Cricetulus griseus: one gene and its partners. The protein of the gene in region 2 purifies or fractionates together with the protein of the main gene of each other region. This does not show direct contact. Links are inferred from orthologs where the notes say so. Each region holds a gene or a part of one and is shown on either strand. Other genes may lie near its edges. The genes, in order: Flna, Cttn and Asap1.

Region 1 (2,700 bases), on a different chromosome or scaffold from region 2:
TAGTCTACATAATGAGTTCCAAGCCAGCCAAGGTTACATAGTGAGACCCTGTCTCCAAAATATCAAAATAAGCCAAGCAGTGGTAGGGCACACCTTTAATTCTAGCACTCAGGAGGCAGAAGCAGAGGCAGATGGATCTCTGAGTTGGAGGCCAGCCTGGTTTCCAGAGTGAGTTCAGGACAGCCAAAGCACCTCAAACCCACCTCAAAAGCCAAACACTAAGAGCTGGTATTATTATGTTCATGGTATCTAAGAGACGGCTAGGCCTTGATGCTATTTCTAAGACAGTTTACCTGATCATCACTGCTAGCGATCACCAACTAGCTAGCAATTAATCTTAATGCCCCACATTTTGCCTACTTGATCCTATGCCATTCTAGGTACATCATATACCCATCTCTGTGAAACAAAGAGCAAATACAGACTGTGCTACCTGGAGATCCCACAGCCTATACCTATGCCTTGTTGGTACCCTTGCCAGTTTGGACTTCATCACTCTTTCCATGAAAGATACAGACACTCACAGGACAATGGAAGCAAAATTTTATTCCTCTTGTCTGGGAAAGAGAACTAGCAAGTGGTTGTACATAGAACTCCCACCCTCCCAGAACCAAAGGAGTCAGGCGCTGCCACCAAATGGCTCCCTTTACCCAAGTGAAAGCCCAGAGAGGCAGGTGAGCACAGCGCAGGGCAGGGGAGACTGCAGTGACAGAGTGGCCAGAGTGATCTAAGGGAGGGCCCAGGGCTCAGGAAAGGAAAATGGACTTCTTGGGGGTGGGACAGGTGTGAGGTTGCTCTTTGCTATGGGAGATTCTGGCTGGCATAGTTGTCAGGCTCAGGGCACCATAATGCGGTATGGGCTGCCTGGGATATGCTCATCACCCCACTTGACCACCAGTGTGTACTCCCCTTTGTCCTTGAGCAGGTAGGAGACACTGTAGAGACGGCTGCCCATGTGTTTCACCAGGATCTCTTCACAGGGTGTCCTTGGGCCATGCACCCCCACCAGCAGCATGTTGTTACCTGAGGTAGGAATAGGCCTCAGTGACTAGCCTTAACCCCTTCCTTCAGCTGTAATTGCTCTGAGCCCTTCTTCCTATTCTACATCCTGTTCCTTGCCTGTTTAGAACAATACCCCTTCCCAACAAGCTTCTCATACCCCACCTAGGCCACCAGAAGACAAATCCCAGGTCTTCCAGGACATTTTCTTCACAGACACAGACAGACAGACAGACAGACAGACAGACAGACACACACACACACACACACACACACACACACACACACACACACACACACACGTACGTCTTTTAGACAGGGTTTCACTGTGCCTTGACTGTCTTGGAACTAGCTCTGTAGACCAGGCTTGCCTTGAACTCAGAGATCTGCCTCCCATGTGTTGGGATTAAAGGGGTGTGCCACCACCAACTGGCAATGCATTTTACATGCATTGGTGTTTTGCCTACATGTATGTCTGTGTGAGGGTGTTGGATTCCCTGAAACTGGAGTTATAGATAGTTGTGAACTGCCATATAGATGGGTGCTTGGACTTGAACCTGAGTCTTCAAAAAAGAAAGGAAGAAAGGAAGAAAGAAAGGAAGGAAGGAAGGAAGGAAGGAAGGAAGGAAGGAAAGAAAGAAAGAAAGAAAGAAAGAAAGAAAGAAAGAAAGAAAGACTGATTATATAAACTGGGCAGTGGTGGCACATGCCTTTAGTCCCAGCACTCAGGAGGCAGAGGAGGCAGGTGGATCTCTGAGTTTGAGACCAGCCTGGTCTACAGAGTGAGTGCCATATAGGCTCCACCCTGTCTCAAAAAAAAAAACAAAATAACAAAAAAAAACCCACAAAACCCAGGTCCTCTGGAAGAGCAACCAGTACTCTTAACCACTAAGCTACTTCTCCAGGAAGCCCAAATATAAAGTAGCCCCCAAAGCAACAATCATACCCCTAAGTTCCTGTACTTTCCACATGTTGACTGTCTTGTGATTTCTGACTTTGTACTTCCAGAGCTAGAAACAGGGATACTTACCTGCTTTGCTGCAGTCTACTGTGAAGCTGCTCTTCTGGCCTACATAGGCCTTGCTCAGCCCCAGGCCTTTGGCTACTACCTTGCTGACATCAGTGGGACTTGGGCCTGAGGTTGCAAGCTGGGGAACAGTGGCAACTTTTGTCAGGGAGTCCACAAATACAGATGTTGTCTCATGAAGACTGTGGTTACTAACAAGACGGGGACCTGCAGGACAGAATAGGTGAAACTGAGAAGTAGCTAGAGAATATCAAGGCATTGAATGGGCACCAACAGCTTAGCCTGGGGCTCACCTGTGACCTTGGCTTTGAAGGGGCTTCCCCCAATGTGATAGGGCCCACCATACTTGATGGAGATGAGGTAGCTTCCGGGTGCCATAGGGGTATAGGTGACACGGTAGCCCTCAGGGCACTCCTGGCAATCCATCTTCACCTTGGAGGGGCCATCAATGGTAACGGAAAGGGCACCAGCTCCTGCATTGCTTGTGTTGACGATAAACTCAGCTGGGCTCCCTGGGAGCATGGAAGGTCAGGCAGAGTGTATGTCACTGGCTCTCCTGTCTTCAGCCACCCAGCACAGCCTTGATACTTCCACATGCTTCCTGTTGCTAAGAGCTTGGATGCAGGGCCCTAACAACTGCATCCACACTCAGAAATATACCCATGAACCTACCT
Region 2 (3,649 bases):
GACTGTTTAAGCCTGAGAGTTCAAGGTCAGACTGGGTAACACAAACCCTGCTCAAAAGCAAACATTAAACAGCCTTGCATTCCTGCCCTGAATTGGTCTAGGAAAGGGAGTGGCTGAGAACCTGACCCAGGGCAGGAACATTTGTGCCCTCAGCCCACAGTTAGTGCCTCACCAGCTTGGTAGTCATACAGAGCGATGGCTGTGATGCCCAGGTCACTTTCATATCCATCGTAGGTATCATCCTCTGTAAGCAAAGCAGAACTGCTGAGCAACATGCCAGCCACCCCAAACATACTTCCCAAGGATAGATGGGAGAGCTTTCGAAAAAAGACCTCATGACAACAGCTGGGTTCCTATGTGGCAGGTGCTGGGATGGAAGAGTAAGAAACCTCCTAGAAACAAAAGGACTTGTCCTGGCTAGTTTATGTCAGCTTAATACATGTTACAGTCATCTGAAAGAAAGGAACCCCAATTAAGAAAATGCCTACATAAAATCTGGCTGTAAGGTATTTTCTTGGTGACTAATGGGGGAGGGTCCAGCCCACTGTGGGTGGTGTGCCAACCCTGGGCTGGTAGTCCTGGGCTCTATAAGAAGACAGACTGAGCAAGCCATGAGGAACAAGCCAGGAAGCAGCACTCCTCCATGGCCTCTGCATTAGCTCCTGCCTCCAGGTTACAGCCCTGTTTGAGTTCCTGTCCTGGCTTCCTTTAGTGATAAACAGTGATGTGGAAGTGTAAGCCGAATAAACTGTTTCCTCCCCAACTTGATTTGCTCATGGTGTTTCATCATAGTAGTAGAAATCCTGACTTAAGACAGGACTCTTGGCTTTCAACAGCAAAGCTTAGACACTGAGCTCTGACACATACAGGGAAGTATAGCCACATGAACACGTAACAAGTACCAAGATGACCCTTTTCCAAACCTAGCATGATGGCGGCTGCAATCCCAACACGTGAGGCAGAGGCAGGAGGATCACCCCACGTTCAAGGCCAGTTCGAGCTATACTGTGAATTCTAAGTCAGCCAGGGCTACTGACTGAATGAGACTGTGGTGGTTTGAATAAGAATGGCCCCCACAGGGCTGGAGAGATGGCTCAGAGGTTAAGAGCACTGACTGTTCTTCCAGAGGTCCTGAGTTCAATTCCCAGCAACCACATGATGGCTCACAACCATGTTGAATGAGATCTGGTGCCCTCTGCTGGCATGCAGGCAGAAGACTGTATACATAATAAATAAATAAAATCTTAAAAAAAAAAAAAAAAAAAAGGTCCCCACAGAATCGTGTATTTGAATGCTTAGTTACCAGGGAGTGGCACTATTTGAAAGGATTAGAAGGACTAGGAGGAAGTGTGTCATTGGGGGTGGGCTTTGAGGTTTCAAAAGCCCAAGCAAAGCCCCAGTGTTGCACCCCGGACCCCCTGCCTGAAGATCAGGGTGTAGCTCTCAACTATTTCTCCAGCACCATGTCTGCCATGGTTCCTGCCATGACGACAATAAAGTAAACCTCTGGGAACTGCAAGCAAAGCCCCAATTAAATGTCTTCTTTTATGAGAACTTCTTTGGTCATAGTATCTCTTCACAGCAAAAGAATACTGACTAAGACACTGAAAAAAATAAAAAAGTCTGATGCCACTAAAGCAAGAGGCCAGAGTAATGGAACCTTGGCACCAAAGGTTGCCCTGGGACAGTGAGGCTGAGAGCAACTAAAGTCTTCTGCTCCCATCCCCACACTGCCCCTGTCTAGTGCCTCACTGGAACTTCGTTTCCAAAGTAAACAAATTAGCTTCTTCACTGTCAGCTGAAGCACTAGTTCACCTTCAAAGCATGGGGAGATGGAACCTTTGAAGTGGCTGGGTGATAGGCAGAGTCCTCCATGGGAGGACTCCTCAGGCCAGTAGATCCCTCCCCACTGCAGCCTTAATCATTCATGCAGCACAGCACAAACCTTCCCAGGACCACACGATAGGAGCACTGCCCTCGTAGGAACCACTGTGTCTAACCCTCCCCGATCCAGGGTGCCACAGAACTCACATTCCTAGACTATCAGCTAGCAAGCCAACCCTTTCTGAGGAGCACAATGGAGGAAAGGACTTCTCAGAAACCCTCATCCCCTGGACATAGCTAGAGTGGGGTCTAGTACCTGCTTGGTAGTGGCCAGGGGCTTCTGTGGTCTCGTAGACAGGTTCTGAGGTGTAAGCTAAGTTTTGCTGGCTGCTGGCCTCAAGGACACCTGCAGCCTCTGTGCTGTACACAGGCTCAGGCTCACTTCCACCAACAGGACTTCGGTAGCTTGGCTCCGCCTTGAACGGCGCTGCATCCTGAGGAGAGACAAACAGACATTTCTCATGCTGTCACCAGAGCCAGAAGAGGTCCACTCACAAGTGACCTCCATAGTCAGACAAATCAAGGCAAGAATAGAAATTTTATGCACAGGGAGTGGGGACAGGAAGCTTTCCTGTGGAGGTGACCACACAGGGCACACTGCCACAGTCCAAGGAGATCACTCAGTTCCAAGACTGGTCCCATTTGGCAAGATGATGGTAGCCAGAGGAGACTACAAGGCGAACAGCCAGTTCCTGGTGTGGTGGCTCCACACTGAGCCCTGCCCCAACTTCCCATCACAGCATCTCAGGTTCTTCCCTCAGCTTCTGGTCCCAGCTGAGCTGCCAGTCACAAGGCCTGTCCATGCCCAAGAACATCAAAGAGCCAGTGCCGCAGCACCTATGTGGGAATGCCTCATGGTCACTCTGTTTTCGGGTCACTAGCTACAAGGCCACATCCACCAAGAAGTCTTGCACGGGAAGGCTCCCTGCCATGCAGAGCAAGTAACAATGGTGTCAGGGAGAGAGAATCCTGGTGGTGAAGAGGCCATGGTACCCTAAGCCCCCAGTCACAGCTTGTGTCCTAGCTCTCCCAGGACCCATGAGCAATGTTATCTACATGACAGAAGGGCAGTATGTGAGGACTGTCTGGGACCCATGGGATGTGATTGTGGGCAAAGGGGCTTACTTCAGTGAGGGGTTCCTGAGGGCAGAGGGTGGGAGATGCTAGGCAGGGATGAGGCAAGGACTCCACAGAGTTTAGTGTGAGGAGGCCATAGGGACCAGAGAACAAGATGCTCCAGGGACGAAGAGAGAACACTGTCTCAGGGCCAAAGGACAGTAGGTTGCAGAGGGAGCACAGTTAGTGCGACACACTAAGCATGTGGCATCTACTGACCTCTCAGAAGTTACAGGGAGAGGAAGACCATGGTGCCATGGGCTGCCCAAAGGTGAAGACATCTAACCTGGGGGGACACCTTGCTCCAAAAAGACAGAAGGGGGGTGGTTAAGTCTGCAGGAGTCTAGGGCAGCCAACTGGTCAAGTGACTACCCACCTCGTAGATGGGGCTGGAGGGTGGTCTGTCTTCAGCTGGCTGAGAACTAGGAGATGCAGGGGGCGTCTGCTTCTTGGCTCTGGCTTGCTCCTGTGATAGAAGGACAGCAAACACATGGTTACCCAGTCAGCCAGGAAGTCACATCTGCCACTTTGTAAGGTACCCAGGTGGAAAGACTGGAGCCTGCTGGGAGAGTAGAAAGCACCGATCACAGGGTTAGGTGGCTTATGAAGTTAAAGTCACACAGTCAGACCTTCTCAAGGACTCTGGCCT
Region 3 (4,092 bases), on a different chromosome or scaffold from region 2:
TCCTTTCTGGGAAAGGCTCCCAAGGAGTCCCCTCTTTGGGGGAACACTCGTGTGTGTGTGTGTGTGTGTGTGTGTGTGTGTGTGTGTGTGTGTGTGTGTGTGTGTGTGTGTGTGTGTGTGTGTGTTCACTCATACCCATGAGTGAACACTGGGGGTTAGACACGGTCTCTCACTGTATTTAGAGCCAGGCCGGTACGTGTCAGCAAGCTCAAGCGATTGCGGTGCTGAGTCAGGGCACCTGGCTTTTTACAAGACTTCCGGGCATTTGAACTCAGGTCTTTATACTTGTACATCAAACACTCTTTCCAGCTAAGCCGTCTCCCCAACACTTCCTTGGTCCTTCTTAGGAGGTAAAGAGTCTAGAGCATACCACAAGTGCTCAACAAGTACTAGATATCACTGTCAGCATCGCCTGTGTAGGAATCATTAGTGCAGACTTCTAGAAAAGACCCCTGGAAACCGTGTGAGAGACGCCACAGAGAGGAAAGAATGGGGGAGGTGAAAATGAAGGGGGGGTGTCAGAAAGAGCTCATCAAAAAGCAGAGTCCACTGCAGGGAAGAAACACGAACAGCACAGGTAGGAGGCCAGCTCTCTTTTTCCTCTAGACCACAGCCACCTGGATACAACATGAGCAGCCAGCTGGGAGGAGGGTCTGGACCAGGAGGGCTCAGCTTGAATGCACACATTCATCTCTGGGCCTGCCGGGCTTGCATTGGTTTTTTGGAAACCTGGCTTGCTGTGAGTGGGAGAGGTGTAAGGAATTTCAATTTCCTTCACCAAATGGCAAGCTTGTGAGCAAGTCCTTTCTCTCCAACATTATCACGTACTAAAAATGAAAAGCCAGCAGCCACCCAGCTTTCATGAGGAGGAAGGTAGGTGGGCTGCCCAGCTCACAGAAAGAGGAGGACTCAAAACCAAGACCTTCTGAGAATCTCACAGACCATTCTGTGTCAAGACACTGCCCCTTTGGAGTCTTGGGAGTTTGTACATCTTCAACCATAAGGAGAAAGTAGAGAAAAGCAATCCCCCATCTCATAACTACAATTGTATATTTCAAATCCGTTTGATAGTTGAATCCCAAATGCACTTGGGTCAGTGAATAGAAGAAGTTGGGTCATATTTTAATTTTTTGTTTTTTCTTTTAAGCCAGCATGCAAGGTACTAAAAATAATTATGCATTTTTTAAATAGGGTAATTTAAAAACGCCTTATCACAAAATAAGTTCTTTCAGATAACTTCATATCTCAAAAACAGCGGCAATTGCAGATAAGCGAACAAGAGAAGGCGCTAAAGTGGCGAGGGATTGAAAGACACAATTCCACATCTGGTTCCTGGCTGACAGGCCATAACCCGACACAGGCAGAGAGAGCAGCCTGGCCCCAGAGTTTAGCGAATTGGAAGCTAGCTGTTTCTGGCTAGGCCACCAAGTGGTCATGTGCCCTTTGACAAGACAGGTAACCTGTTTGAACCGCTTCCATTCCACGTTAACAAAAAGTGGAAACAGTTCTTCTATGGTTTTTTGCGCTCTCTTTTCTTCCCTTACAGGATTCCCACCCCCAACTCCCACCTCCCACCCCCACCCCCACCCCTTCGCAATGGCCCTGCACGGGGGGGGGGTGCGGGAACGGGGGCCGGGGCGGGTGGCGGGGGCGGGGAGCTCCCAACCTGACCACTCAGGTTAGAACAGACACGAAAACTGGCTTTAAAAAAAATTAAATTCTGTGTTTTGCAATCTGAAAACATTACTCAGCAATCCTGCACCACCGCTATCCCAGAATCAGTTCTCTAAGACAACCTGATGGAGTAGATGGAGAAAAACAAACTGGTGTTTTGGAATCGTACAGCTAAGGCTATGGTCAAGTTGATGATGGTCTAGACTTGGCTAAGCCTCTCTCCGTGATAGAAAAAAGACCCGCCTTCTCGGGATGAATCAAACAGCAGAAAAGCAGATACCAGCGAGTTTCTTTTTTTCTTTTAAACTTACTGTGACACTCCTAAAAAAATCATCAGGTCCCCAAATGGTACAAACGGAAGACACAAGGCACTTCTCAGCTCCCAGGAGGAATTACCAACCCCCCACCCCCTTGGTTTTCTTTTGGGTTAACTAAGTGGTCTGGGGCCTGCCTGGCAGCGCCATGTCCAGGCCGGGTCCCGCGCCGAGGGGAACTTTCCTCCACTGCGCCGGAGACAATGCGGCGGCGGGTGCCGGCGCCTTCAATCGGCGCGGGGAGAGCGCCCGGGAGAACCGGGAAAGTGCCCGGGAGGAGAAGGAGAGCGCCCCGGAGAACCGGGAGAGCACCCGGGAGGAGGAGGAGTGAGCCCCAGCTTCAGGGGAGAGTGCTCAGGAAGACGGAGAAAGCGCCCCCAAGGACGGGGACAGCGCCCCCTCGGATGGGGAGAGCGCCCGGGCGGCTGTCCGCGCCTCGTCCGGGAACGGGGGAGCATTGCGCCCGGGGCGCATCCTGCCCGCCCCCCCCCACCGCAACCCGGGTCGCCTCCGCAGAGCAGGGGAACGCGCACCCCAGCGCTGCGGATGCGGAGCCCCGGGGCGGCCTGGCCACAGCCCCGCAGAACCGGCCGCGCGCCCCACACGCCCCCAAGACCCCGGGCTGCTGCTCTCCGGGATGACAGGGACACCCGGAGCCCGCAGGGGTGCGGGTGGCCCCGCCGCGCCCGCCCCGCCGCCCCGCCGCCTTGCCACTCACCGGGACCGGGCGGGCCGCTGGGCATTATTCCATCGCGGGCGCGGCGGGGCCGGGCGAGCGGGAGCCGAGCGCGGCGCAGGAAGGGGCGGGCGACCATGTGCCGAGGGGGAGGAGGCCGGCGACGCGAGCCGCTCGCTCGATCCCGCTCGGCGCGGCGGCGGCGGCGGCGGCGGGCGCGGGCTGCAGGAAATCCAAACACTTCGGCAGGAAATCGGAATCCTGACTAAGCACTCCCGGCCCGCGCCTGCCCCGCGCCGGGGGCTCCCGCCGCGCTTAACCCTTGGCCCGCCGGTACCCTGCGGGTCGCCCCAGTAGGACACCGCAGGGGGTGCGTGGGGTGGGCCTCGTCCTTGGCCACAGAGGGCAGGGGTGAGGCCCGTCTGCCGCTAAAGCGGGGACACCCGGAGAGGACCGTAGCCTCCCCCCCACTCCCGGCCAGGATGGCCTTGCAACCTCTCCTGACGTCTCCCCGTCCACTTTCACGGGTTCTTTCCAGTCGATCCCTCTCTTTTTGCCCAGTGCCTGGAGGCAGAACCTTTTGGGTCAGAATAGCACAGGGATGATCTGGCGAGCGTATGGATTTCCATGTCTGAACCCAGGTTGGGGAATGGCCTTTTCCTTTCTCCTGCAAATGATACTCCTTGGGCCTCAGTTTCTCGAATGAAAAACCAAAAAGGAGTGTTTGTAGACTTAATCTGAAAACCAGATGCTTACACTGGCAAGTTGGGAATACCAACGATAGCCATGCTTGGCCTTATTATTTGCAGTCTCAAGACCTCGGCGGAAAAAGGCCGCTGCCCTGTGGGATGTGTGTTGTGTGTGTCTATGTAGACTTACACCGCTGGGGACAGGTCTGACCTTTCAGACATCAGTCCGTTGTCCCTGTCCCGTCCACCCCATCACTGGGTGATTGCTTTGCTTGCTTTTCTTTGAGTCTTCCAGAAACTGCTGTCTGAAGAAAAGGTCAGCGGCTGTGCGGACCCCCTTCTGGTGAAATCTGAAACTCACTAGGCCTCACAAAAATTTGAGATTTTGTTCTTAACCTGAGGATGGCGGGGGTTGGGGATGGTTCAGGGGAGGGCGTGTTAATAAGCCTTGAGATGCTCCAGGAGGTTTAGGAAAAGCAGCCTGGAAGTCTGGGCGGCCATTGGAGTGATTCATTGTGGTTTCCCAAGGAAATGCCACATTTTTTTTTTTTTAACCTGGAAGCTGCAGTTTGGTGGTTTTGCTTAAAGTGTTTCAGATTCCTTTGAAACCCGGACTTACAGGAAGGACCCACGTGTGGATAAGTGGGAACTGAAAGGAACATGCTGGGAACTGAAACTTGGGTACCAGCTTGTCTCCAAAGGAAGAACAGACATGCGCTTTGCACCCCAAATCCATGTC

The links.
Region 1: the proteins of Cttn (region 2) and Flna purify together in Homo sapiens (affinity purification with mass spectrometry; 3 studies listed by BioGRID and IntAct, with this or other methods). This does not show direct contact. The link is inferred for Cricetulus griseus from reciprocal best matches to the Homo sapiens genes CTTN and FLNA.
Region 3: the proteins of Cttn (region 2) and Asap1 purify together in Homo sapiens (affinity purification with western blotting; 6 studies listed by BioGRID and IntAct, with this or other methods). This does not show direct contact. The link is inferred for Cricetulus griseus from reciprocal best matches to the Homo sapiens genes CTTN and ASAP1.

The regions. Positions count from the first base shown.
Region 1 is NC_048604.1:1,487,899-1,490,598, reverse strand, and holds the end of Flna (filamin-A), read right to left. Parts: coding exon 2,699-2,700; intron 2,539-2,698; coding exon 2,320-2,538; intron 2,234-2,319; coding exon 2,030-2,233; intron 1,024-2,029; coding exon 836-1,023; 3' UTR 521-835; downstream 1-520. UniProt on the Homo sapiens protein: Promotes orthogonal branching of actin filaments and links actin filaments to membrane glycoproteins. Anchors various transmembrane proteins to the actin cytoskeleton and serves as a scaffold for a wide range of cytoplasmic signaling proteins.
Region 2 is NC_048596.1:56,922,445-56,926,093, reverse strand, and holds part of Cttn (src substrate cortactin), read right to left. Parts: intron 3,467-3,649; coding exon 3,377-3,466; intron 2,319-3,376; coding exon 2,141-2,318; intron 245-2,140; coding exon 173-244; intron 1-172.
Region 3 is NC_048603.1:23,764,585-23,768,676, reverse strand, and holds the start of Asap1 (arf-GAP with SH3 domain, ANK repeat and PH domain-containing protein 1), read right to left. Parts: upstream 2,830-4,092; 5' UTR 2,707-2,829; intron 1-2,706. UniProt on the Homo sapiens protein: Possesses phosphatidylinositol 4,5-bisphosphate-dependent GTPase-activating protein activity for ARF1 (ADP ribosylation factor 1) and ARF5 and a lesser activity towards ARF6.